Sus scrofa: one gene and its partners. The protein of the gene in region 5 interacts with the protein of the main gene of each other region in a pairwise test. Links are inferred from orthologs where the notes say so. Each region holds a gene or a part of one and is shown on either strand. Other genes may lie near its edges.

The links.
Region 1: the proteins of GOPC (region 5) and CERCAM interact in a two-hybrid assay, tested with the Homo sapiens proteins (2 studies listed by BioGRID and IntAct). The two-hybrid records come from large-scale screens. The link is inferred for Sus scrofa from reciprocal best matches to the Homo sapiens genes GOPC and CERCAM.
Region 2: the proteins of GOPC (region 5) and DPYD interact in a two-hybrid assay, tested with the Homo sapiens proteins (2 studies listed by BioGRID and IntAct). The link is inferred for Sus scrofa from reciprocal best matches to the Homo sapiens genes GOPC and DPYD.
Region 3: the proteins of GOPC (region 5) and HCK interact in binary tests that used the Homo sapiens proteins (3 or more experiments, as listed by UniProt). The two-hybrid records come from large-scale screens. The link is inferred for Sus scrofa from reciprocal best matches to the Homo sapiens genes GOPC and HCK.
Region 4: the proteins of GOPC (region 5) and MYLK interact in binary tests that used the Homo sapiens proteins (3 or more experiments, as listed by UniProt). The two-hybrid records come from large-scale screens. The link is inferred for Sus scrofa from reciprocal best matches to the Homo sapiens genes GOPC and MYLK.
Region 6: the proteins of GOPC (region 5) and CCDC102B interact in binary tests that used the Homo sapiens proteins (3 or more experiments, as listed by UniProt). The two-hybrid records come from large-scale screens. The link is inferred for Sus scrofa from reciprocal best matches to the Homo sapiens genes GOPC and CCDC102B.
Region 7: the proteins of GOPC (region 5) and RHOQ interact in a two-hybrid assay, tested with the Homo sapiens proteins (2 studies listed by BioGRID). The link is inferred for Sus scrofa from reciprocal best matches to the Homo sapiens genes GOPC and RHOQ.

Annotation. Positions count from the first base shown.
Region 1 is NC_010443.5:268,841,044-268,844,389, reverse strand, and holds part of CERCAM (probable inactive glycosyltransferase 25 family member 3), read right to left. Parts: coding exon 3,257-3,346; intron 2,181-3,256; coding exon 2,061-2,180; intron 1,767-2,060; coding exon 1,690-1,766; intron 1,607-1,689; coding exon 1,500-1,606; intron 214-1,499; coding exon 81-213; intron 1-80. UniProt on the Homo sapiens protein: Probable cell adhesion protein involved in leukocyte transmigration across the blood-brain barrier. Does not express any beta-galactosyltransferase activity in vitro.
Region 2 is NC_010446.5:120,151,335-120,155,522, reverse strand, and holds the start of DPYD (dihydropyrimidine dehydrogenase [NADP(+)]), read right to left. Parts: upstream 2,801-4,188; 5' UTR 2,578-2,800; intron 1-2,577.
Region 3 is NC_010459.5:35,736,073-35,739,572, reverse strand, and holds part of HCK (tyrosine-protein kinase HCK), read right to left. Parts: intron 2,624-3,500; coding exon 2,474-2,623; intron 2,140-2,473; coding exon 1,987-2,139; intron 207-1,986; coding exon 24-206; intron 1-23. UniProt on the Homo sapiens protein: Non-receptor tyrosine-protein kinase found in hematopoietic cells that transmits signals from cell surface receptors and plays an important role in the regulation of innate immune responses, including neutrophil, monocyte, macrophage and mast cell functions, phagocytosis, cell survival and proliferation, cell adhesion and migration.
Region 4 is NC_010455.5:136,508,662-136,512,677, forward strand, and holds the start of MYLK (myosin light chain kinase, smooth muscle), read left to right. Parts: upstream 1-1,216; 5' UTR 1,217-1,322; intron 1,323-1,524; exon of another isoform or gene 1,525-1,530; 5' UTR 1,531-1,623; intron 1,624-4,016. UniProt on the Homo sapiens protein: Calcium/calmodulin-dependent myosin light chain kinase implicated in smooth muscle contraction via phosphorylation of myosin light chains (MLC). Also regulates actin-myosin interaction through a non-kinase activity.
Region 5 is NC_010443.5:44,273,864-44,277,363, reverse strand, and holds part of GOPC (Golgi-associated PDZ and coiled-coil motif-containing protein), read right to left. Parts: intron 2,428-3,500; coding exon 2,332-2,427; intron 802-2,331; coding exon 637-801; intron 1-636.
Region 6 is NC_010443.5:153,930,297-153,934,429, forward strand, and holds the start of CCDC102B (coiled-coil domain-containing protein 102B), read right to left. Parts: upstream 2,801-4,133; 5' UTR 2,559-2,800; intron 1-2,558. UniProt on the Homo sapiens protein: During interphase, forms fibers at the proximal ends of centrioles to maintain centrosome cohesion. During mitosis, dissociates from the centrosome following phosphorylation to allow centrosome separation. Contributes to CROCC/rootletin filament formation.
Region 7 is NC_010445.4:94,009,861-94,014,059, reverse strand, and holds the start of RHOQ (rho-related GTP-binding protein RhoQ), read left to right. Parts: upstream 1-1,399; 5' UTR 1,400-1,742; coding exon 1,743-1,884; intron 1,885-2,445; coding exon 2,446-2,504; intron 2,505-4,199. UniProt on the Homo sapiens protein: Plasma membrane-associated small GTPase which cycles between an active GTP-bound and an inactive GDP-bound state. In active state binds to a variety of effector proteins to regulate cellular responses. Involved in epithelial cell polarization processes.

The DNA of each region.
Region 1 (3,346 bases), about 220 Mb from region 5:
TCAGTCTGTTTAGTCACCCACTGGTCACACAAGTACTGGCACGAGCAGTGGACAGGGCAGTGTGTGGGGGGGTGTCTCACCTCCTCCCAGATGGAGTAGTGGCTGAGGAAGCAGCCCACCTCGCCCTTGGTCAGCGTGCGGCCCGAGTAGGGGTCCTGGTAGCCGGGGAGCAGGTCCACGCCAAGCCTCCTCATGACACTGCTGTTGAGCATCCTGAGGGAGTTGGTGTCATGGGGTTAGTGGTGCCCCCCCAGCCCCCAGGATCCATCCAGGGGCACCTGGCCCCTGCAAGGTGGGGCCAGTCACACTGGAGTTTGGTTTGCAGGAGGCTTCAGCCTTTGTTCCTGCTTCATGTGGCCCGGAGCCATCAGTGACTGGACCTTGGGTGTCGTAGCTGCCTCGAGAGAGAGAGACCCCCAGGGGAGGGGGTGGCAGTCTGAGTGGGAGACACCCCAGAAAGATGCGGGCACGTGGCAGATACTTAGGCAGAGGCCTAAGCAAATGATGGCCATCTTGCAGTTAAAAGGGCTGGGACAGGAGTTCCCTGGTGGCCTAGTGGTTAAGGATCAGGCATTGTCACTGCTGTGGTTTGGGTCACTACATGTGGTTGGGTTCCATCTCTGGCCCAGGAACTTCTTTTTTTTTTTTTTCTCTTTTTAGGACCACACCTGCAGCATATGGAAGTTCCCAGGCTAGGGGTCGAATCAAAGCTGCCAGCTGCCGGCCTACGCCACAGGCACAGCAACGCAGGATCCAAGCCATGTCTGCAACCCACACCACAGTGCACGGCAACGCCGGATCCTTAACCCATTAAGCAAGGCCAGGGATCAAACCTGCGTCCTCATGGTTACTAGGCGGGTTCTTTACCACCAAGCCACAATGGGAACTCCCTGGCCCAGGAACTGCATGCCATGGGCATGGCCGAAAACATTAAAAAGTAATAACAATAATATAGAGAGTGGGATATATGCAGCAAATAGCAGTGTCCCTATGGGGCTGGGTGACCTCTGGCCTGCTCCCACCCCCACCCATCAGGGATCTAAGTTCAGAATGGAAAAGAATAACCCTGACGATAATGATGAAGGTATTATTAACCTCTGGAATACTTCCTACGTGTCAGGCCTTCGCTGGACCCTTACAAACCCTTAAGAGAAAAGCACAGCTTCTCGCCCTCATGCAGCAGGTGGAGGGACAGGACGACATGCTGGAGGCGGCGCAGCTGGTAAGCAGCAGAGCTGGAACCCCAGCCCAGGAGCTCCAGACCCTGGGCCTGAAGCACTGTCCCCTCTCCCTCGGGTGGGCTGAGGGAGGGCATCCTGTCCCATCTGGTCTCCCCTGGACCCTGAGACAGAGGTACCCAGGCCCTGTTTGAATACCTCCTGGAACAGGAAACTCACTCAACGCATCGTCCGCTTTTCCCGCCCCCAGGGAGCTCTGAGGGACCACGCTGGCCCCCCAGCTGCCCAGGGCCCTGTCCCCACGCAGGAAGCCTCACCCACCGGCCGTCCACGGCGTCCACCACCCGCCCGGCAATCTCCATCTCCCAGAGTGAGCTCAGCATGCGCTCTCGGCGGTCGGGCCGGCGGGCCAGGCTGATGACAAACACCTGGAGGAGGCAGGGTCGTGGGTGCGAGGGGGGAGGGGAGAGGCGGGAGCCCCCCCCACCTCCTGGCCCCAATCCCGACGTACCTCATCAAACCCCATCTTGCTGGGCCTCTTCGGGGGCCGGGACACGTGAGCCGAGGCCCACATGGGGGGCCCATCCACTGCAGAGAAAGCATTCCCCACTCCTGAGTCTGCACCCTGGAGTTCTAGGCACCCCCTCCAACCCCAGCCTCATTCCTGCCCCCTCGGCAGAATGCCCAGCAGATCACAGAATCCACCTGCCTCCATGATATGGATGGGCAGGCGGAGGCCCAGCGGGAAAAAAGGACTCGCCTAGAGTCAGGAAATGAGTTGGGGGGAGGCTGAGCCCCCAGCCCCCTGCCCAGCCAGGGCCGGGCCTAGAACAAGGGGCAGGTAGGGGAGGGCAGGGGGCAGCAGCAGCAGGCAGCCCTTACCCAGCGCTTCCAAGAGCAGATGGATGAAGTTGACTCTCTCATCCTCCAGCCCCTGGTGGGATTTCACAGGCACGTTCATGTACCCGTAACGGTGCTCGTTGCACACGTGCACTGAGACCCCTGTGGAGAGAGGCCGAGTGGGGCTCTCAGGACCCAGCTGAGAGGTCTCAGGCCCAGTCCTGCCCAGGACCCAACACGTGAGTCCTCTCTGGAACTCACATCCTCACCTGTGGGGCTGGAGGGAGAAAGGGCTTGGATCAAATAATATCTAAGGACCATTCTGCTGAGATGTTTATTCATTCGACAGGCGTCTAGAGTACCAGCTGGTCAGGTCCACATAAGCTGGCCCCTGCCTACCTTTCCTGCCTCAGCCTGCACCAGGCCCTTCTCGCTTACTATGCTCCAGCCACACCTGCCTTTTGTGTGCCCTGCCACCACAGGACCTTTGCACCTGCTGTTGTTTGAAACGCTCTGTCCTGCTCTCTTTGCCTTCTAATGCCCGCCCATACCTTATTTTTTAGTTTTTATTTATCAGATCCCAGCTGCAGCTGCCACCTATGCTGCAGCTCTGGCAATGCCTGATCCTTTAACCCACTGAACCAGGCCAGGGATTGAACCAGCATCCTTGGCGCTGCATAGATGCCACCAACGCCATTGCACCACAGCAGGAACGCCTGTCTGCACATGCTTTCGATCTCAGTCCTGAAGTTAACATCCTATGCTTCAAGAAAACTTTAAAAAAGTGAAAAATGGAGTTCCCGTCGTGGCGCAGTGGTTAACGAATCCAACTAGGAACCGTGAGGTTGCGGGTTCGATCCCTGCCCTTGTTCAGTGGGTTAAGGATCCAGCATTGCTGTGAGCTGTGGTATAGGTTGCAGACGCGGCTCAGATCCCGCATTGCTGTGACTCTGGAGTAGGCTGGCAGCTACAGCTCCGATTTGATCCTTAGCCTGGAACCTCCATATGCCACGGGAGAGGCCCTAGAAATGGCAAAAAGACCAAAAATAAATAAATAAATAAAAATTAAAAAGTGAAAAAAGAGAAAAATTTTCAAAAGGAAGGAAGGGAGGCTACAGACCTGAAGGACAAACAGAAGTTACAAGATGAGCTGCGGAGTGGGGAAGGGCATGCAAAGCAGCAGGAACAGCACATGCAAGAGCCCAGAGGCCTGGAAGCAAGGCTCGAGCTGTCCTCACCGGCAGCCTGACAGGCGTAGGCAAAGACGATGATGTCGTCGAAGGGCCAGGTATAGTTGGGGTGAGGAGGGTAGAAGGAGAGCTGGCCTG
Region 2 (4,188 bases), on a different chromosome or scaffold from region 5:
GCTCTCTCCGCTTCTCTCTGCAACTTCACATAAGCCCTAGTTGTGTGCCCTAGCGGTGTGCCAGTCCTCTACCATGCAAAATGGTATTATAATATACTTATTATCACACCAGTCATATACCCCAGCAGCCACTGATTATTTGCTTATGCAGAGCCTAGCAGACAATGGCCCAAGTCTCCTGTTTACTGTTAAATCTTTCGCCTCCATTTCTGACCCCCAAAGGCATTTGTCTTTCTTTTTACTTCTACTTTTAATTTTTCTTGTGTGCGCTTACAAATGATTCATGCTGATACAATATTACTACCTATACTTATTTATACTAATACACATCAAATATATTTATGAAAAAATACATAGTTTTCAAACCAATGAAAGTCCATCCTCCTAAACTGTAAGGTACCCACAAGAATATATAAATTTGAACTTATAAAAAACAAATTCAAACTAAGAGCAAATACTCTTAACAACCACACGATTTTGGTAAATTTCAATGTTATTGTCCAAATCTCTTAAACTTATTTTTATGTGTTAAACACTTTAAATGCTAATATGTAGTTTTAAGACAAACTAAAATATTGTGATGACAATCAACTAGCAATTTATCCAGTCCTGCAGTTTTATTATCCATCTTTGTGCACTAAGTATTTTTAACAGTTTTCAAAAGATTTTTGGAGAAGAATGTCAAATATTTAGTGAAATCTATCAAGACATTATTATTTTTCATTAATCACTGCACTAAGACCAAAGGGAGAGATACAAATAGAGCCTAAACTGACATTATTTGTGACTGCATCCCCAGGATAATACTTCATCAAGGTAGAAACTATTGATTTTATTACTATTTAATGTATATCTTTCGTGTACTTCTTATTTCTCTCAGAAATACTTTTATTTCTTTTGTTGAATAGTATTCACTAACTATTGACAACACTGTTTCAAAATAGGAGTAGTATGGAGAGAATTTATTCAAAGATGATGAAGTTTGGGGCAATAGAGCAAGTGTGAGATGTCATCAATCTAACAGCTGCTCTCTAATCCATATTCTATTCGTAAATAACCTACAAAATGCATTATCCATATACATTAGTTATTATTAATTATCATGGTAATATATGTCTTAGTTTTAGATTAGGTACACAAACTGGCAGATTTTATTGACCAGTTTGTCAAAATGTATCATAAACGTGTTAGTCTCATTCTTAAATCTACTTATAGACCAGCTACCACAAAATTAGTCTTAGGCTTTCTGAATTAATATAAAACTTCAGACATAAGCTTAAACTTCAGGGATCTTCAATACATGGGCCTTTTCCAAGGTCCTGTATTTAAATTTGCAGTAGTGATTTTGTGCAATTCTTAAAAGAAGGGACCCAAAGTTTTATCATCTCAAGCCCCCACAAAATCTGAATCTTGGCTTTAACAATACTTCTTCAATAACAAGAAGAAGAGAAAAAACAAAAGATTTTTGGTAACATGCATAAATAAGGAAAATGACTAAGCCATATGTGTTCATCTTACACAATCTATTTTAATATAGTTGCTTCATATTTAACAGAAAATGAGGTATGGCAACCTCATTTTGTGAGTTGTAAGATACAGTGACTGAGGTATTCGGGGCTGAATTAACAAGGTTAATACCATGAACTTGCAGTCAGAAAGCCCAAGTTTACATCAACTTTGTATCAATGACTTAAAACATGTGGGGCAAGTGAGAATCTGTGAAATAATGGAATTAGAGCACTTAGAGTTTTGTACTCTAGATCTTCCCTTTATTACATCTAAATTTGTGTAAGCCTCTTATTACTCATCCATAAAATAAAGAAGATGACATTTACCCAAAGAGTTATTTTGAGTATCAGCCAAGTTCTTAGTAGTGTACCTAACACTGACCAGGGTTACAGGAGTTTCTTTAATTAACTATAATTTTTCCAATCATTTTGATCTTTAGTTTCCACATGCCCAAGATGGGAAAAACATTAGCCATTCTACATGTCTTACTGGTTGTTTATCAACATTTTTAAGTGAGATATTGCAAAGATGCACGCATGGTGTTCTAAACTCTAAACTTCACCCCACCTGATCCTATCCTTTATACTACGATCTAAACACTTTTAAAACCAAATAACAAAAATTAATAAAAACTAGATTATCAGTCCGAGGATGCTAATATAAATGCATATGTCATTGTTTGCTATGGAACTCAACTTGTTAGCTTGTATTGTTTCATGATAAACTACAGTTTTTCTCAATACTTGTATATAGAAGTTGCTTACAACAACAATTAATTCTGGTGCTCAGTCAATGTTTATTTGATTAACTGAATGCTTACCAAGTGGGAGCTTAATATACTGGGTGTTCATACAATCCAGTCTGCCTGGAATAGTCCTGATTTACTTCTGGTGCACTGAATTAATAATTATTTTCTCTTTCATTCCCCAAAATATCAAAGTATCATTCTCTCTCACTCCTTTAATTAACCTTCTTAGAAAGCAATCAACACAACATGCAAAATATATCCAGTCTCACAGTTCAGTTTACGCATTTTTTTGATAATTTATTTTAAAGTAAGGAACGCACCTAAATTTGTTCTGTGTCTATACCTATCTATTTGATAGATGGGATGCATCACAAAAATACATTATTTGAGAGAGGACGTGTAGTACTCTATTGGAATACATGAGTCTGTATTCTCCTTCAAGTACCTGTAGAAGGCAAAGGGTTAGGCTTTTAGTGACTCCACATTCAAAATAAAAATACAGTAGAAATAATATTTGTCTTATTTAAATAATCACTAGCTCAAGTAATCATTTTCCTTCTTCATTCACAATTCTTTAAACTATTTATTGTAGCATTTTAAATGTTGATGTGATTTAAGTAATTGCACAAGGTTATTTAATGCAGTCTCATAACACCTGGCTGTTTGAATTGTATCAGTGTATTTTTTATTATATTATAAGCACTGGCCAATTTTTTGCGAAGTGTGTCTACTCAATAAAATATAGAAATAAATGTCAAGAACATGTAATAGTGCATAAATACTATATGACGGTGGGATAAGAACTGAGTAATGTCAAATGAGAGGTGACATAAAAATCAGCTGGAGTTCCTGTTGAGGCGCGGCAGAAACAAATCACACTAGGAACCATGAGGTTGTGGGTTTGATCCCTGGCTTTGCTCAGTGGGTTAAGGCTCCAGCGTTGCTGTGAGCTGTGGTATAGGCTGCAGACACGGCTCAGATCTGGTGTTGCTGTGGCTCTGGTATAGTCCAGCACAGGCAACAGCTCCGATTAGATCCCTCACCTGGGAACTTCCATATGCCGTGAGTGCAGCCCTTAAAAGACAAAAAGACAAAAAAACAAAAAACAAAAAAAAAAAACCCTACTGAAAGACACAATTAAAGAAAAATCTAAAGCATAATTCTGTTCTCAGTGATTTTCCTGATTTAGTCTAGAATTCTGTTTGTTAGTTCCATTCAACTAAAAGTATGGAAAGTAAACTAAAAGTACAGTGTCAAGAAGTAGATGCCACACAAAACAGTGTGTTTCATGGGCATTAAAATAATCTCATAGAAGGCGTTCTGTGAAAAACATACTGTTTTTAGACACCAATTTCATAATCCAACACATTCCTAAAAATTCATAATTGAGGTGGCCATCTTAAGAGTTAATCCTCTGAACTTCATTTATTTTAAATTTAAAGTCAAACTTTAGAAACCTGAAATTTCATGGAGCTCCCATCATGGTGCAGCAGAAATAATTCCAACTAGGAACTATGAGCTTGCAGGTCTGATCCCTGGCCTTGCTCAGTGGGTTAAGGATCCAGTGTTGCCGTGAGCCTGTGCCATAGGTTGCAGATGTGGCTCGGATCTGGCATTGCTGTGGCTGTGGTGTAGCCTGGCAGCTGTAGCTCTGATTACACCCCTAGTCTGGGAACCTCCATATGCCGTAGGTGCAGCCCTAAAGAGACAAAAGACAAAAAAAAAAAAAAGAAAGGAAGCTAAAATTTCAATTTCAATTTTTCCAAGTTGCCTCTATAATTCTTTAATATCAGTAGAAGGGATTGGTTTGGCATGCAGCTAGTTATCTGCTTATAGTTATTTTTTCTACTCACTATAGGAAATGAGTAGAAAGTTCCATTCTTATTTCATAATCCTTTTGCAACAATTCATTAATCATATTTGAGAAGCAA
Region 3 (3,500 bases), on a different chromosome or scaffold from region 5:
CCTCAGCCCCCAGCATGCAGCACCTTTGGCCATGAACTCCGTGATGATGTAGATGGGCTCTTCCGTGGTGACCACCGCGTGCAGCTTCACCAGCTTGTCGTGCTGCAGAGTTTTCATCAGGTTGGCTTCTGCCAGGAAGGCCTCCACAGACATGCTCCCGGGCTTCATGGTCTTCACGGCCACCTTGGTGTGCTTGTTGTAGGTGGCTGGAGCGGGACGGGGCGCAGGGAAGGCGGTCAGGACCCATGCTCTTTTCCCACTATCCCGAAAACCCGGCTATAGACCGGCCTCCTCCAGAAAGCCTTCCCTGCCCTTCTCAGTCCTTAGAGAGGGAAGGGGAGGCACGGGCTTTGGCCTCAGACAGATGTGATCTGGAAGGGTGGACCACCACTTCCTAGCTCTGTGCCCTTGGGCAAGTTACTTAACCTCTCTGAGCTGTGGTTTCCTCATCTGTAAAGTGGAAATCAGCACAGCCTTCAAAAGGCTCTTGCAGGGATGAAAGAAGAACCTTAAAACATCACTCGGATTAGGTCACTTGCTCATACACACACTCACCTTTGTTTTGTCAACACTTATACACACACCCCATCTTTGCTTAAAATGTTTTACTTAATATTAACACTGTCATCCAATTAAATACCAGCTTTATCAGGGTCCACAAGGCCCTGCGTAATCTGGCCTTGCCCACCTTGCCTCATCATCCACCAAGTCCCCCTTGCCTTTTGTGCACCAGTCAGCCTGCATGCCATTCAGTCCCTCAAGCATCCAGCTCCCCCTCCCCCCACAGGGACTTTGCACATGTTTTTCCCTCACCTCACCCCCACCCTTCCCCTGCTTCATCTTGTCGATCTTGTAAATCTCATTGTTGTTTATGTTTCCATTTTTGCTTTGGCTGCCAGGAAGCTCTAACCCAGATTTGAGGTCTTCCTGTAGTAAGAGTCTAAGCCCTTATGTAGTATTTTTTTGTTTTCCTGCATCATCAGTCCAATCTGTCTTACCTTCCTCACCATACTTTCTCTGCCACATTCTCTTATTTAGTGCCTGGAACATAGTAGGCTCTCGATAAATATAGTTCAAATACATAGATTTTTAAATGCATTTTTTTTCCTGGCTGAACTGTTTGCATCTCTCTAAGTTGTCTTTGTTCCCATTAGGAACGTGGTGGAGTATAAACACAATGCGGAGCACCAGGCACTTGGCCAGGCATTGCGTCTACCCCACAGTTCTGCAAAGCAGGTTTTGCTATTCTCAGGTTATTAGAGGCAGGATGGCAGGGGTGGAATATGCCTTTTGGGTGCTCTGCCATTTCTTAGCATGGTGCTGGGCACATGGCAGGACTCAAAACAGCTTATTCATCAGCTGCCAACACTAAACTCACCTGGAAATCTCCAAGCTATACTTCCACATTCTTTTTTTTTTTTAAGGGCCTCATTCATTGGCATATTGGAAATTCCCAGGCTAGGGGTCATATCAGAGCTGCAGCTGCCAGCCCGTGCCACAGCCACAGCAATGCCAGATCCGAGCTGCATCTTTGACCTATGCTGCAGCTTGTGACAATGCCAGATCCTTAACCTACTGAGTGAGGCCGTGATCAAACCTTCATCCTCACAGACACTAGTGGGCTTCTTAATGCACTGAACCACAATGGGAACTCCCTACTTGTGCATGCTTAATTTTCATCATCCTAAGAGATGCTCTGGTTATCTCAATCCCAAACTGTCCCAGCTCCCTAGGAGGGGGATGGATTCCTCATCTGGGACCTCTGCTTTCCAGAAGAGAGTTTTTGACCCCAGGACAGGCCTAGCCTTAAAGGCAAATCAGTGTTTGCATGGCAGGACAATTTGGTTTGCTATCAGAGGAATTGCTCCTTTATGGCTGCTATTCAAATCTCCCCTCAACCCAGGACGGCAGTCACACTTTGCCTCAGGCTGTTCCCGGAAGCAAGGACCTCCCTCTCCCCTCCCTGCCCTGGGCCTGGGTCCTTACCCAGCCAGACTTCCCCAAACTGCCCCGCTCCAAGTCTCTTCTCCATCTTGAGGGACTCCCGGGGGATCTCCCAGGCATCTTTCTCCCAAGGCTTCTGGGGCTTGGAGGACACGCAGGGCACGGTCAGCTTCTGGCAAAGCCCGTCGCTCCCCTCTGGAACAGAGCCCCTGGTCAGTCGAGAGTGGTCAGCTCCAAGCCAGGCACGAGCTTCCCCTTGGAAGCCTCCCTGCTTGGTCCTTGGCATTGGGCTCATATTCCAAACAGTTCCCTCTCCCTCCGCCCACCTGGGGGACATTCCCAAGAGGATAGGTGAGATGCCACCTCTGCCCTCCTGCTCAACAGACCTAAGACTTCAGGAGAATCCAAAGCAACTATTTATCCAGGGAGGGTCAGGAAAACCTCAGCAGCCTCCCAGGCCGCAGTGCTCCCTCGAGCGGGCTTCCCGGGAGCCAGGCAGGCACTGGGAGGCAGGCTGGGCGGGACTCACTCTTGTAGTGGGCCACCAGCTCCTGCAGGGTGTTGAAAGTGCTCCGTGGGGAGATGTAGAAGCCCCCGCTGTCCAGGGTCCGGATCTTGTAATGCTTCACCGTGTCCCTGTGCTGGGGGTCGTAGTCTCGCACGGACAAAGAGTAGCTCCCTGGAAGGGCGGGAGAGAAACCCCGCAGGAGTTGGCTCAAAGGCTGACCATCCCATGTCAGCACCCCTGACCCCCTGTCAGGCCACTGCAGGCACTGTCCTGGCACCTGCACAGCAGAGTATAAGGTAGGAATGGGCTGTGGAGTCAGGCTGCCTGGGTGCTCATCAGGCTGCTCCATTTCCAGCTGTGAGACCTTGGGCAAGTGACCATACCACCTCTCTGTGCCTCAGTTTCCTCATCTATAAAATGAGATTGGTCATAGCTCCTTGCCTCGTCACATTGCTTGATGGTTAAAAGAAGTAATGCTTGTACTCAGGATGTAAACACTCGGTAAAAGTTGGCTGGCATCATCTTCATTATTATTTCTTTTCTTTATCTTCTTCTTCTTCTTTTTTTTTTTTGCTTTTTAGGGCCACACCTGTGGCATGTGGAAGTTCCCAGGCTAGGGGTCAAATCAGGGCTACAGCTGCCAGCCTACACCACAGCCACAGCAATGCCAGATCTGAGCCACATCTTTGACCTACACCACAGCTCATGGTAACGCCGGATCCTTAACCCACTGAGCGAGGCCAGGGATCGAACCTGTGTCCTCAGGGATACCAGTTGGGTCTGTTTCTGCTAAGCCACAACAGGAATGCTTTCATTATTATTTCTTTATCTATCTGTCTATCAATCAATCAATCAATCACAAAAGCCCAAATTCCACACCACTTTGGTAAAAAGTAAAAAGGTAAAATAAGTGAACAAACAAAAAATTCTAATCTGATTATCCTGGTAGGCCCAGTGTCATCACAAGGGTCTTTATAAGAGGAGGTAAGAAGGTCAAAGTAGGATAGGAAGTTGGGGTTGGAGAGATGTGAGAAAGGCGCCACTGGCC
Region 4 (4,016 bases), on a different chromosome or scaffold from region 5:
CTCATTTACAAATTAGAAAACTGAGGCGGAGACACGATGACTCCCACAAGCTCTACAAAGCTAGTACCAGAACCAGGTCTAACACTCAAGTCTCTCAATCTGGGACTCTCCACCGCAAAACAGACTTCTCCGTCTTTACATTAAAATTAAAAAAAAAAATTTTTTTTAAGGAAGTGGCCGGGTTGAACATTTTCTCATATTTCTCCAGAACATCCTCACGATAACGTTTCAAAATGCATTTAAGGTTGGATCTTCTACAGGGAAGGAAGATACGGAAATGGATTTTCAAAGGTGAGTCTGGTTAGTCTAACAGCTGAGCTGGGTGGGAAACCCTGGTCTAAGCTTCCCCTCTTCTCCTGGTCTCTTGCCTCGGTCTGATTGCCTCTCAGTTAAGTAGATATAGAACAATACTTAACACGTTTAAGAGTTGAAAGTAACTATGTTTGTTAGACGCTATCCTAAGTGCTTTTCCTGGCTGAAGCCTTACATTCCTATGAGGCAGATTATCCGCATTTTAGATATAAGAAAACGAAATAGCAGAGAGCATAAATACCTTGCCCAAAATTTTGCTGCTAGAAAGCAAGGGTTAGTGTTCTCAACTCCAGAGCCCGCATTTTTAAGGACTTAGGTTATCCAGCCTGAACAAAATTGCACATTGTGTCCAATTTTGAAAATGAGCAAGTTCTTCGCGATACATTGTCCAAAAACCAAAACTGCATTCGTTTGGGCAATGTACTTGATTCGTTGTTGTTTTTGAGAGCCATATCAAAGGAAAAGAAAATTAATTTTAAAGTCTAAGGAGTTTTTCCAGTGTGTGGTCTTCCGTGCACGGAGTGGTCTTCCAGGAGAAAACATGAGAAAACACCTTGAAGGCCACCAATTCAGTGTGCGAAGATGAGTTGGAGTGGTGCGGAGGAAGGACGAGAAGGACCAGCATCCAACTGTCGATTCTGCTCCGCATTCCCTTCTTGCTACCGGGGGAGGAGGGCAGGTGGGCGTGGCGGAAGGACCGCAGGTCCATTCCCAGAGCGTCATGCAAATGACATGCAAATCAGCGCGTGTGAGCCGGAGTCTGCAGTTTGGGTCGAGACCCGGAGCGCTCCACTCCCAGTCCCTCGCATACACGCGCGTTTGCGCTCCCATTTGCTCGCTCTCTCGCCGGGCCGCCCCCCCCCCGCCCCGCCCCGCCTGGGACTCGCCTCACCGGCTCCCCAAGCCGCAGCCGGTGGCAGATTGAGCGCTGAACCCGCGCTGCGCGCCCGCGGCCAGGGCGCCCCAGCCGAGCACGGTGCCTCGGCTCCCGGGCCGCCTTCGCCGCGCGGGTGAGTGAGCCCGCCCCACGCTTTTGTCTTGTCTCGGCCCTTGGCAGTCACTCTCCGAGGGCGGGGATCCGGGGTCGGGACCCTCCCTCAGGAGTCTGCCCCCGGCCCCACTGTTGGAGAGGGGTTCCTGAGGGCGGAGAGGAGTTGGGGGAGGTGGCACAAGGGGTGACTCCAGCTTGTCGCGGCAACCCAAGTTCTCTTTTGGAAGGTGAGGTGCTTGGGGACAGTGATGCGGTTATCATCCGAAGCGGTATCTTTGATTTGAGGAGTGCAAATCGCCGCCAGCCTTCAAGGAAGAGAGGTGGGCTCTTCTCCTAGCCCTTGTGGGAGGACTTGGTGACTGCAGCTGCGGGGGTAAGGGGCGGGGATGCCACGTGAAAGTCCTCCCAGCCTAAATGCAAGTCTGAGAAGGTACGGGAGTGGAGGCAGACTAAGGGTCTCAGGCAAAACTGGGGCGTTGGGCGTCGCAGTTCTGCTCTCATTCCCTGCTCCTCACTAATGTCCCTCGCCTGTTCTGCCTTCCTGCCTTCAGCCAGAGTTCCATGGTTAAAGGACCTTTGTATGCAGATCACTGCGGTTGGAAAGTTTAGGCTAAACTAATTCCCAGGTGTTAGCTGTCAGTGGTTAAGGCAGAACTCCTCCCTGGAACTTGTGGCTACTCTTCAATACTCAAAGGACTGAATTTTTTAGGAGTGGTATTGCAGATGCAAAGAGGAGCTGATGAGGGGAGGTGTTCTAGCATTTTGTTGTTGAGGGGCACGCCCTCTATATAGTAACAGGAAGGAGAAAGACCCAGTCCTTTGAGGCCTGGAAGGGGTAAAAGTGGTCATTGTAACTGAGGGAAGTTGGTGGGGGTGGGGGCGCACCTGGGCAGTGGGAATAGTGCCAGGTCTCAGACCACTGGTTTTCACCATCCCTATTCTCCCCAAGTGCAAAGAGCAGAATATGTGCAATTCCCCCCATCCCTACCCCCAACTCACTCCGTTGCTACATCCCCCTTCCAGCTGGGGCTGCAAGTTCTTTCCTGCCTTAGTGCAATCTTTTGTCAAAGTGCACACCTTTTCAGTAAGTTATTTGCAAGTGGGGGCTTGAGAGGATCATTCAGGGAACTCCTCACATTTCAAAGCCCCAGAGATCCATACAAATCTCTGGAGGAACTGTAAGTGCTTCTGGTAACCTTATTGGGTCCCCAAAAACTATTCTAGGTTCCAGTAAATAGTTGTTGGTTTTTTTTTTCCCCCATTTCATTTCCCTCTTCCCCTCCATCTCTTTACTTTTAAATTCATGCTCCCCTTGATCCCCTTCTTTCTTTGGTGATCCTCTGTCTTAGTCTCTTTCCCTGCCCTGCACCCTAGAGAAAGTGACTTTGCTGGTACCATAATGCCCTCGGCTTGAAGGCTCATGGTGTCCTGAGTGAGGCTGGCCTTTTGTCTTCCATTCTAAGTGGGCCAAGAGCCTTTAGCCAGAGCAGCCTAGAGGCTTGGTCCTAGTTGGGGAGTGGCTGGATGCTCACTACTGGATTGGGTAGAGGGTACCCTGGGGACTTGCACAAGAGCCTTTTCCCCAGGATGTGCATGTCTGTCCCCTCACCCACAGATGATACGAAAAGATGCTGGTTCTGATACACCAGTAGGCATGGACTTGGAAAACTGCTCTACAGTGGGAAAGGATTTGTGTGTTTGGTTTCTTCACTTGATCTTAGCCAAAAGGCTGAGAAGCAGTGTGTTTGATTGCTTTTGTGCAGTAATTAGCTAGCTGGGGAAGAGGTTGCTGGGGCCTTGGAGTGGTTTTCTTTATATAAGGTTTGCTGGCCCTCTCATCAATGAGACTATTTCCTCAGGGGATAGATCTTGGGGGACATGTACAGAGCAGACTAGGTTCTGGGGAAGGTCCTGATCTAACTGGTAAGCTTAAGTGGACCCACCTGCTGCCTGGACCTTACGCAGACAGGTGCTGTCACTCTAGGGCAGGGGCTTCTGGATGGCAGCTGCAAAGGAGTCTGCTGGGAAGGCTGGTCAGAAAAGGAGGTTGGTCCCAGGTGGTGCTGGGGGGAGAGAGGCCCTTGCAGTGACAGAGGTAGGGGTGGCGTTTTGGTCCTAGCTGGGGAGGTCCTTCCCCAGTCTTTGAGGAATGGATTGTGATTGCTCTGAGGTCACTGTGTTCTCAGTATTTACAAGAATGACCCCTTGCTGGCCCCCCAAATACAAATCTGAGTCTGCGAAATAGAACTAGTTGGTTTCTTGGCTCTTTGCCTTTTAAGAGATTCAAGAAGTGGCAATTTGAGAATGCAGCCCAGCCTGGGGGTAGGGGTGCAGCAACCCCATGAACATGTGGGGTCTTATGTAGCGTCTTTCTGAGAACAACACTTTCTTGATATTCTGGAAATATACACCAAGGCCACTTGGAACCCTAACTGCCCTACCCCCATGTCAACCAACAAACTCTGATTGGGGAACTGTTCATTCTTAAAACTTCCTGTCCTGTTCATTCTGTGAATGTAGTGAAATTTAGAGACCAACCCTTAGAAAGTAACCTTGCCCAACAGAAGACATTGTCCTCTCCCAGCTTGACTATTGTGTCGTTTTCCTCTGACCGCCAGAGAGTGCAGCCAGAGGGCAGGAGGAAGGATGTTTGTATGGAAAATATACAAGTGGACACTTGGGTGGCATGTGGGCTTGGAATCCAGAGTGAAGG
Region 5 (3,500 bases):
TACTAATGAACACCTCTCTAATTCTGTCAACCCTATTCTTGAAGGAAAAAACCAAAAAAAAAGCATCTTAAGTACTCTGGATACGAAATATGATCCCTGGATATGAATCTGAACTCTATAATGTATTTGTTCTGCAACGCTGAGTAAATCATTTAATTTCTAAGAAGCTTAGTCCACTTATTTTAAATAATAAAGTTGGGCTAAATGATTTCTAAGGACCCTTCAGTTCTAACATTTATGACTTTAAAGTTGATCCACTTCTAGTACTGTTTGTTCTGTAGCACTTCATATTTGTACAGTGTTTTAGTCATTAGTGATGTTCTGTTTCTAAGTTTTGAACACTTTATATACATTAACATACTTATTAATCCTTACAGCTCTCAGATAAAGACACTGCAGCACAAAGAACTTAAGTAACATACTCAAAGGTATACAACTGTAAAGAAAAGCAAATAAAAATTTTTTCCAGTAAATCTGGTTGAATATCTTTTATAAAAGCTCAAGTCAAAGGAAACTAGTATCTATATATAAACACTTTACTACCTGAGAAACCTCCTAGGAAAGTATAAGGCATTCAATAGATTCAAAAAGGTAACAACTGATAGATCCAATTTTAGTTACATAAAGAGAACTTACTTGCTGGGAAAGAATGGTTACAGCTTCTTTATGCTTTGTGTCCCTTAGATTAACTCCATTAACAGCCAGAATTGCATCTCCAACATGCAGCCCTCCACATCTGTCAGCAGGTTGCCCTGGGTGGATCTCAGAAATGAGGATTGGAACGCCATGTTCCTTTCCGCCCTAACCAGGGGGGAAAAAAAAAAAAAAAAAAAGGCAGTAAATTAGTTCACCTTTGTGTAGTCAGACTATTCTGATAAATATTTTCCTATAGACCTATTCCAATAAGCACCTATACCGTCTCTATAAATGCTGAAACACTACTTGCTACTTAAGTAATGATAAATCAAATTGTTATGAATATCAAAGAGTTACCTCTAAGTAAAGTGATTAATATCATACATGTGCTTCTTAAAATGCATTCCAGAGCCAAAAGAAAAAAACAAAACAAAACTGAAAAACAAAAAACCAAAACAAACCTACAACCCAATTGGCTGAGCTCTCTTAAACATAAATAAAAATATCTTAAGTACTAGTAGTCCACAGCACTATTAGAATTTATCAGCTCTAAGTCACTATGAATAGTAAGACAATTACTTTATGTACCACAAAAGTAATTACAATATGAACCTCAATTTCACAGGTGTTAAAATGTGAAAAAATGTGCAAGCAAAATCATTGAAATGAGTACTTGATACATTTTACTTTCTAGCTTGCAATCATAATTGTGTGTGTATATATCTTAATTTTTCCTACTAAAACTTAATGCTCTTTGAGGGAAATGTATTCAAAAAGGGAAGTATTCAATAAATACCCATTATTTCTTTATTGTAAGAAACATTTCTACATTAAGCAATGCCAGAAAGCCAATGAACTTATGCAGTACCTAAATACAAAGCCATCTTATTCATTCATCTGGAACAAAGCACTGAATGGCAAAATGACTCTAAACATATGTATTTTATGTTGTCCAAGACAACAGTTTGTAAAGGCATCAACTTTAAAAAAGAAGAATGTCTGGACCCAAGAGCCACTGAAATCTGATAGAAATGAAACAAGAGATAGTAAGAAATACTCTAGAGAAAGGAACAGTACTGGCTGGAGCCATTTAGCACAGAAGAAAACAGTCATATCAATTCCCAAAAGCTCCTCCTACAGGCAGCACAGAACTAAATGACTTGAGTCATAATGAAAAAGATAAACAATGATTTCTAAAGTAATACTTTTACTACTTCACGGTTATTAGGAATATTTACGTACCCCTCAAAAAAGGTTTACACGAAAGTGTTGGTACCCACAGGGATAAATTCAGTTATTTAGAAAATACATTCAGGAGTTCCCGTTGTGGCGCAGTGGTTAACAAATCCGACTAGGAACCATGAGGTTTCGGGTTCAGTTCCTGGCCTTGCTCAGTGGGTTAAGGATCCGGCATTGCCATGAGCTGTGGTGTAGGTGGCAGACATGGCTCAGATCCCTTGTTGCTGTGGCTCTGGTGTAGGCCGGGAGCTACAGCTCCAATTAGACCCCTAGCCTGGGAACCTCCACATGAGGCGGAAGCGGCCCTAGAAAAGGCAAAAAGACAAAAAACAAAACAAACAAACAAACAAAAAAGAAAGTACATTCAGAATACTTTACTTCCCGATGATGTCCAAAAAAGGGGCATGATTATAATAGATAACTACAGAAAAGGAGACTGGAAGCACTACTTCTTACTGTAATTGAAATGCCAAGGCCTTCATGATCTTCCTTAAGAAGAAGAACTTTTCTAATTGGTCCAACTCCTTGGCTTTTCTTTAAAGAGTCTTGATCCTTATTGAGTGAAAAAAGAAAAAAATTAGTACCACATAAGTAATAATCCAAACAGAGTAATCCATAGTATTACAGCTTGCTTTTAGAAATATTTATTAATTTCCTATAATAGATACACAGTACAGTGTTAAGAAAGTCATTAACAGATAAAATGGAAAAGCAAAAATAGTTGTTCTGTTAATATGGTGAAATGTACAGATGATTTTTCTCACCCCCTTGTTAATTTCTTTAATACTGCTACAACTCTTTTTAAATTGAAGGACATTACAAAAGAAATTATTGCCAGGAATTAATTGATAAATAAATATCCTCAATAAGTAAGAGTAGGTAACTTTATCTTCATAGGAAAATATCCTAAAGATCTATATCCATTTCAACTGATTTGTAGAACTGAAAAACAAAATGCCAGCTGGATCATTAATTACTTTTTCATTCCTTTGAGTTCTGGAGTCTACCTCTTAAATAAAGGACCTTGCTCCATTAATAATTCTTTCTTGGGTAACTATACTCTTTCCTTCTCTACAAGCTCCTTCTTAATTCAGCTACTTCCTAATTCAAGCCTCATACAGCTTTAAAATACTGACCATGTACAAACAGAAAATAAGACAAATAAAAACTCCTCCATCACCCATTATCTTCTTTACCTACTCTCCTCCCTCAATCTTTCCTTAACCTTCACACAAAGCTAATCCTAGCTACAATAGCTTCCTGGCCTCCCACATTCAGTACTCCAACCCTGTAATTAGGGTTTTGCCCCTACCTGCTCCACACAAACTGGCTTCCCTACAGTCACTGGTAACCAAGACGGCTATTTCCAATGAATCCTTTATAGTCACTACCTTATTTGAACCTTACAGAAAGCTGATAGTGTTCATTACATCCCATCCCTGAAACCCTGTCTTTTCTATTACACTACTTTTCTAGATGCCCTGTATCTGACAGCCCTACCTCAGGCTCTTCCTTTGGTGATTCATGTCCTTCTTCTCCTACTCCGTAAAAGTCTCCTTACGTCTTTTTACTTTCTATATACTTTCCCTGAGTGACTTAATCAATTCCATGATTTTAATTTTTAT
Region 6 (4,133 bases), about 110 Mb from region 5:
TCTCCATAATTTTAAGGTGTGGTCACTAGGCATCCATTCATATCACACCATCAAAGAGAAACAAAGGGATCCAGTATGTTCCCAATATCACTTCCAGTCACTTCACATATTTTATTTGTGAATAAGTAATATTAGATGAAAATCAGAGATGCAACTTCCTTTCAGAAATCAAAATATATATTTTTGAATGTGAATAAAACATTCAAGAAAATGAAAAAAAGAGGAAAGCATAAGAATTGAATATGAGAACAGCCAATTAAATGTAAACACTGCTTATTTTCAGTATCTATTCCTTCTTTCTATTACCAAAGGCAAGAATGGACCATCTGAGGGAACTGTGATCAGTTTAGGTTTACAAATGCTGGAACCAATCTGCCTACTTTCTCACAACCTCCTCCCTGCACTCTGTTACCCCAATGCCCATTCCAAACCATCCTGCTAACTCCTACCAGATTCACATTCTTAAAATACCAGTGCAACATAGTGGAACAGCTCTGAAGCCAGAAAGACATTGTTTGGAATCCTGGCTCCACTTACTATATCTGTGGCTTTCAAGAAATCATTTGACATTTTTGAACATCAGAGCCCTTCATGTGTAAAATAAAGATAACATGTGAGATGAAGTTAATTTGATCACACATCTATCAAAATGGTATGTAAATTATCTTGTACACAGAAGTACAACTACGTGCTGGCAGTATTGCCAATGATGAAGAAGAAGATGATGAAGAAAGAGGAGGAGGAGTAAAAATACTCCATCTCCTCAGAAACTTGCATTTGCCCCAATTGTATACAGACAAAATTAATCTATATGAGTTTTAAGATGCGCCACAACTCTATCCAGCTCTATATTTGAACACAATGTCTGCTCCTCACAAAGTGTACTTTTTTCTGCTCCAATAAGGTGGATTATTCATCCCTACTCTTCCTGGTTTAGATTAATTTAGCCTCAAAACCCTTTGCTTCAACTACTTCTACAAAGTAGAAGAGTCTTTTTGCTTTTCAGCAACTATCTAAATTCCTCTAATTTTTTAAGTCTCAACTTACATAGCCAGACTTTTCTTTCAAGGCTTCTCTAAAATCTTACTAAAAAGGAAATTTTGAAGGTTTTGGCAATAGGACAGAATTCAACTGCCCCTGTAATATAAGCATGGGAGATATACTTCTTCTTCAAATGGAAATGGCCTAAGATCACTTTCTAGTTTAAATAATTATTGTCATTATATGTGTGGCTCCAATAATTAGATGGAACCCTCACAAATTTCAAGGCCACACCCATGTGAGGTACCTGGAAGTTATGTCCCAGAGATCAAGCAAATACTGAATACAATCAAAACAAATGAAGAGTGCAAAGGAGAGACTACTAAATGATATTTAACACACAAGAAAAATATTTTTTAAAGGTTTGGGGAAAAAAGGAATTCATATAAAACATTCTCCTAAAGATTCAAGTAGACATTGATATTTTAAATCAATGTTGCAAAATCACACAAAGCTCGTACAGGTATTGTATCACTAATTTTTCAAGATTCACTTCCATATTAAGTAAAAATATGGAGAAAAGTTAGAAATTAAAGACCATTTAATTTCTGTGTTAGGATATTTGACAATAAAATGATGAACAGCAAAAAAATTAAAAGTTGTAGCAATACCCTATCCCATAAAAATATTAGCAAAAGAGTATTCAGATAATTTTAGAAAATAGGAAAACTAATGTTTACGTAAATGAGAATATCAAGAAATATATCTGAATATTTCAATGCCGTATGTAACATGTTCTAATTGTATTTTTGAAGGATATCTCTCTTATATTTCTATTTAACAGATTTACCCACTCAACATTCATTTCATAATTTATCTTTGCAGAAAACATAAACAATACTGCCAATGGTTTCCAGAGATTTTTTTTCTTCAATTCTGTAATTACTTTCTCTAGAGTTAAATGCCTATTTCATTTTATTATGTGAAAGCTTTTAGTATTTTATGCTATGTATTTCTCCACACCCAGATAACTTATATCAAGAAATCAAGATTAGGGCTGAGTTGGAAGTATAGTTTTTTGTGAACAGTGATAGAAACTCAGCATGCAGACTAGCAAAATGAGAACTCTAAATGAATGAGGAATAAACTTGAGGATTTGCATAACAATTCTATTTTATTTTTACTCTAAGAATATAGATTACTTCAAACACAATGACTAAATCATATTAGTTTGGAGCAACAAAATAAGTTTTATTACCAACATATCATATTACTGTCTAAATTTAGAGTTGAAAATCTTACCTTTGTTAGTATACAGTTATTAAAAAAAAAAAAAGGAAATGTCTGACAAGCTGTTAGGATAAATAATACCAACGTGGAAAATGGAAGAGGGATGGAAGAAATCAAGTCCACTTTAAGAAGAAACTCTAAATCCCTGTTTCTCAGACCTACAGTAGTTTTGTTCTGCATCTTATAAGCAACTGTCTTTCTCTTTGCTCTGAGAATACCGCACACTCGGCCCCACCAGGAAAATATAAAAATTAAACAGAAAACCACAAGGTTATTAAGCATCTTACCCTCTGGGCTTGCTGGGCTGCTCTAGCGGCTCAGTGTTACAGACACATGTGTAAACAACAGAGTTTCCTGCATCCTTTTTTCATCTGTATGGCTCTGGGGTCCTGGCCAACAGGATTATTTCCAGCATTAAGGCTACTCCACACTAACTTGAAAAAGATTCCCATTGGCTGTGAAGTTTTATCAAAACCAATACAACAACACCCTTTGTGGATCACAAGTGAACTATCCAAAATGAAATCATTTTACTATTCCCTAACTCATGGATATGGCTATTCAATGGTCTCTACACAAATTATTTCAAACTGTGCTGTGAGTGAAAAAGGAAGAAACCACCCACCCTTTCATCCACCAGTGTATTTGTTTAATAACTTGTATATAGTAATAGAAAAAATATTTGTATAACTTGCAATAGTAATAGAAAAAATAAAGTGGCAAAGCCAAAGTACTAATAATGTGGAGTCCCCTTGTGACACAGCAGGTTAAGGATCTGGCCTTGTCACTGCAGTGGCTCAGGTCATTTCCATAGCAAGGTTCGATCCCTAGCCTGGGAACTTGTATGTGCCATGGGCCAAAAAAAAAAAAAAAGAGAAGAAAAAGCCAATCAAATCATAACATATCTATCTACAATAGATTTAAAGAAAAATTATGCTGCAGATTACAGGAACAATAGGAAATATCACTGGTCCAAAATGATTTTTATTAGATTGCCCCCAAAAGAAAAAGAAAAAATATTTAATAAACTTTCAGTATAGAAATCAAGACACAAAAACTATACATTGAAATCTTTGTTTCCAGTCATTTTGGGAAAATTATGAGCTGCATTCTCTGGGGCTGCCAAGAGAGCTCTCTAGGGCCCCCAAAAGAGGTCTCTGGCTCCTGTCCCTGGCAGGGGGAGGGGGAGGGGGGGAACCAGAGTGACTTTGCAGTGACTTGATGCAGCTGTCAGGAGGCATAATGATGAATGGTGATGTCACACCACATAAAAGAGAGCTTCTCCAGTTGAAACAGAATAGAACACCCAAGAAAAAGAGGACAGGGCAAAAGAAACTAGATCACTGTATCCTTATAAATAGCATGAAAATAGCAACATTGGGGAGTTAATATCTTCAAGTTATTTTATTTTTATTCCGTTCTTATTTTGGAGGAGTGTTCTTAGCTGAATAACCTACTCATCATCTATTTCTGCTTAACAGCATCCTTTCCTCCTTACTTCCTGGTGCAATGGAGAGGGTGACCATCTTCCACAGAACGTAAACTAAGCCTTTGAGGTTTCCTTTCGTTCTGTCTTTTCAGGAAATGTGCTCCATCACCATACTCTCTTCGCTTTCACTGAGCTCTCCCTTTTGTCTGGATTTTTCACCATGAGATTGTAAATATCAATTCTTCAGTCAGTTTCAGTTATGCCAATGACTTTCCCTTTTAGTTCAGTCATTTTCACTTGCAGGTACCATTCTCTTTTCCTTCATGGTCAAATGACTGAAAGAGCTCTTCCAGGCAAGAAACCCATTTAATCTGCCATCTACTCCTTTAAGGCACCAAAATGATTGTCTCTGAAAACACACACTTGCGTACAC
Region 7 (4,199 bases), on a different chromosome or scaffold from region 5:
GGGTTGAGAGTTGAGGCCTGGGAAGTGTGGCATGAGCACACAACTGAGCATTTCCCAAGGTGTGTTCCAAGTCCTTGAATGCTAGAATTCAAGGAGGAGGCTTTGCGATAACTAACCACTTCACCTCTGTGTGTCTCAATTCGCTTACCTACAATCTTAGGGAGATATAAGAGATGGTCCAGCTGACCTCGGCAGTGCCTCTCAGAATAGCATTTTCTGATCCTGCGAAGAGATGAAAGGAATCGATTGAACTCAAGTCAGCACTTGAAGGGAAGGGGGGGCGTGGTGTCAACGTGTGGGGTATCCTCTTTCCCCCACCCCTCTCCCCCAGGGCCTAAAGTTAGAAGGAGCATTGTTGGCCAGTGAATGGGACCTGGCCAGACGGGTGTTATAAAGCTTCTCCCAGGCAGGAGGATAGGAGATGTCGCTTGGATCATAAGCCACATCTTAGAGCTCTAGAGTGTATCACTCCTCAGGGACCACAACCTAATACCTTCGAGGGACACGGGGACCATAAAGGGGCCTCAGAGAATGTCGCCTGTAGGGGGAGCACAGGTACACCTGCCGCCTCCACAGTCTCGGAGTCTCCCTTTTCTGACGGATCAGGGGGAGGGGGGGAATGCATCTGTGGTTCAAGATGCTGTAACTCCCTTAGTCACCAGATTCATAGTAAATGATTCAAGCTCTGCTGCGAACAGCATAGGCTGGTGGTGGTGGGAGGGGGGAACCAAACAATAAACCAGAAGTCCCCACTTTCCAGCTCATGGACCACCACCCCTGCCCCATCACTCCGCGCGCCTTAAAAAAAAAAAAAAAAAAAAAAAAATTTTTTTTTTTTTAACTCTCTTGGCCTTTCTTCCTTCCCGATTTCTAGTTCTGTTGTGCACTTAGAGGCCGATAGGCTGGATCCTGCCTTCCGGGTGGAATTTAAATGTATATGTATAATTTTGCAGGACTGTTGCGTCATCGTAGCAGTCTTCGTGGTTCCCCAGGAGGCCTCCACGTCTTCTCCCAGCATCGGGGGCTTTGGACGCTTCTGAGAGCTGCCGGCACTTTCGCGAGGAGCCCTCGGCTCCTCCCGAGTGCTGGTCTCCAGCCCCCTCCCCCAGCCTCACCTTCCTCCCGCTCGCTCTTCCTCGGCTCCTCCTCCTCGCCCCCTCCCTGCAGCCCTCGCGGGGAGTCAAGCTAGGGTGAGCCCGCAGGGCCGAGCAGCGGCTGCAGGCTGGGCGTGGGGCGCCGGAGCCCGCGGGCGGGCGGGCGGGGGCGCCGGGCGGGTGGCCCGCGATCGGGGGAGGCGCCTGGGCCCGCCCTCCTCTCGGGCCGAGCCTGGAGGGGGCCTGGGCCGGCGCGGGGCGGGGAGAGCCTCCTGGCCCCTCCCCTCCGCTGCCCTCCCCAAAGTTGCCGTCTCCCCGGGGGCCGGCCAGTCTTATGATCCAGCGGATCCTCCTGGGGAGGCCGGGCCGGGGAGAGGGCGCGGGCGCCGAACAGCGGGGGCAGCGGGCAGGCGCAGCGACCGGGGCCCGGGCGGGGATCCGGGCAGCGACCGAGGCGGCGGCAGCGCCCCGGGCCCGCCGCCCCTTCCCCTCGGGCAGGGGGAGCCGCTGCATGGGGCCGGGGGGGCGGCCCTGCTGCGCGGAGCGGCGGCGGCGGCGGCGGCGGACCCCCCAGGCGGGCTGGGGCTGAGCCCGGGGCCGGGGCGGGGGCTCCGGGGGGACCATGCCCGGAGGCCGGCCGGCCGCAGCATGGCTCACGGGCCCGGCGCGCTGATGCTCAAGTGCGTGGTGGTCGGCGACGGGGCGGTGGGCAAGACTTGCCTACTCATGAGCTATGCCAACGACGCCTTCCCGGAGGAGTACGTGCCCACCGTCTTCGACCACTACGCAGGTAAGCCTCGGAAGTGCTGACTAAGGGGCCGCTCCCCGGGCCGGGAACTTTGGAGCAACTTTGGCTGAGCCCCCTAGCCGCCTCCCCTGCGCGCGCTCCCCGCCCCTCCCCCGCCGCGCCCTCCGCGGGGCGCCGGGCCCCACCCCCAGGCTTTCCCTCTGGCAGCCCCCCGCCTGCCCGATCCACCCCTCTTCTCACCCCCGACCTCTGTGCGGCGTCCCTACGCCCAGTACTTCCTAACCCCCTCTGTGCCCCGGGCCGACCTCGTTGACCTTCCTAGGGCCGCCTTCCTTACTTCCCAAAGCCCTGGGGGAGGAGGGTGAGGGAAACGTGGCTATGGGACTTGGGAAAAGAGATTGGGCAGCTGGGGCGCCACATCGCACCCCGGCCTCAGGCCACTTCCCGGTGAGCCGGGCACAGGGGAAAAGGGGTGGCATCCCCGGAGGCGCGCCCGCGTGCCTCCAGCTGGGTTGGGAGAGGAGGGTCCGGGTGGGGAACGAAACCGCCCCGAGCCTAGATAATTGTGAGCTTCTCTCCCCGCCCCCACTTCTGCCCTTGCAGTCAGCGTCACCGTAGGGGGCAAGCAGTACCTCCTGGGACTCTATGACACAGCCGGACAGGTGAGTGTCTGGGCTTCTGGCCGACACCCCCCTCCTTTTCCCCAATTCAAGACGGTTGCGAAGGGCCTTGGAAACTGTCTAGGAGCGAGGGTGTGTCTGCGAGGTTCCCTCTGGATCAAGTATCTCATTTTTTAAGTCAGCGAATTAGGAAAAGGAAAAAAAACAAAAAACAAAAAACCTTGGCAACATCGGGACCAGCCCACCCCACGTGAACCCCTGGGCTGAAAGTTTTTGCCTGTGTGTGCCTTCTGTCTGGTGCCTGGCGTGTGGGTCCCAACTCCTGTTGCAAAGTGGCAGTGGCCAATCCTGAAGCGCCCTTATTTTTAGTTGCCGATGACCAGGTCTCCCCTCACAGCCTTTGTCTGGTCCCTCATTGGTGAGTGGTCTGCCCGCCAGAGGAGCCTGATTGGTGGGAAATGGCATCATCTAATATGATGGGAAGGCATTTGGTCCTGGTTATGTTTATTACAACATCATTGCACTCTGGGACTCGAGTCCCTGAAAACGTAATTTGTGGTGTTACCAGAGGACCGCAGGGGAAAAAAAAAGAAAAGAAACAACCATCCAGCCACTCCCTGGGGCAGGGAGAGAAGGAAGGGTCAGGAGTTCAGTGTGAATCTTGGAGGAAGAGTTTTTTTTGTTGTTCCCTGGCAAGGCCAGGTGACTTTGTCTGGGTTTTCCTTGGGAGAGATTATTGTGCAGAAAGAAAATGCACCCTCCACACGTCAGCCTCGGACCATTATTTGCAAATTAGAGGTGGCTTCTAAAGGATTAAGATCTCCTCTCTGTCTCTGTCCCAGCGCCACCCTCCTCCTAGACCCATTTTTGCTGTGGGCCTAAGATGATGTGTGTGATGAAGTTTTGCAAAATCCAGCCCTGTGATTAGACCTGAAAATGCAGGCAGAAGTTTCCACGTGTCGTCCAGACTTGAGATCTTGAGGACATATGAGCTGCTGAGGGCCTTAGAGAGTGTCTTTAGGGGATGTCCATAGTAGAGTTTCCTTATCTGTAAGATGAAGTTTTAAAAATTCACACCATTCCCCTGGGCATATATGTTAGATGCTTAGCACTGAGTGTGGCACACACCAGGTAGGTCAATAAAGAGGAGCTCTCCTTTGTAGCTCTTCTAGATTTGGGTGTCAAAACTGTAGTTCCAGGTTAGTCTGACAAATGTCTTATTGTGGGGGGGGCATCTTGATGCATCCCTCATTTCTATACTATGAAGTGATAGGAGCATCTGAGAACTGAGAAACCATTGGCAATATGAGATGCCTGAGGCCACCCCCTTTTGCCAAACTGACCCAGGTCGGTACAACCACTTCTTAGCTTTCCAAGGGTTGTTTTTCATTGCCTGCCTTGTACTTACTCTCATTACCAGCTAGGAAGAAGGGCAAGAGGCAGAACCCATTCAATCAAATAAGACCAACTTTTAAGCAGTGTAGTTGATAAACAACAGGTTTATCAAATAAGACCAACTTTGAAGCCGTATGGTTGCTAAACAACAGGTTGAAATTATTGGCTGAAAGAAGAGCTTTTTGAGACTCATGTTGACTTTTAACTTCTCTCACTATGGCCTCTTCTTCCCTTTTCTTTGTTGCTTGTCACCGTGACCATTTTTTGACCACGAACTTTATTCAACAGGACGTGTGTATGTCAGAGCTGTTCTGTGCACATTCAAATCTGACTCATATTTAC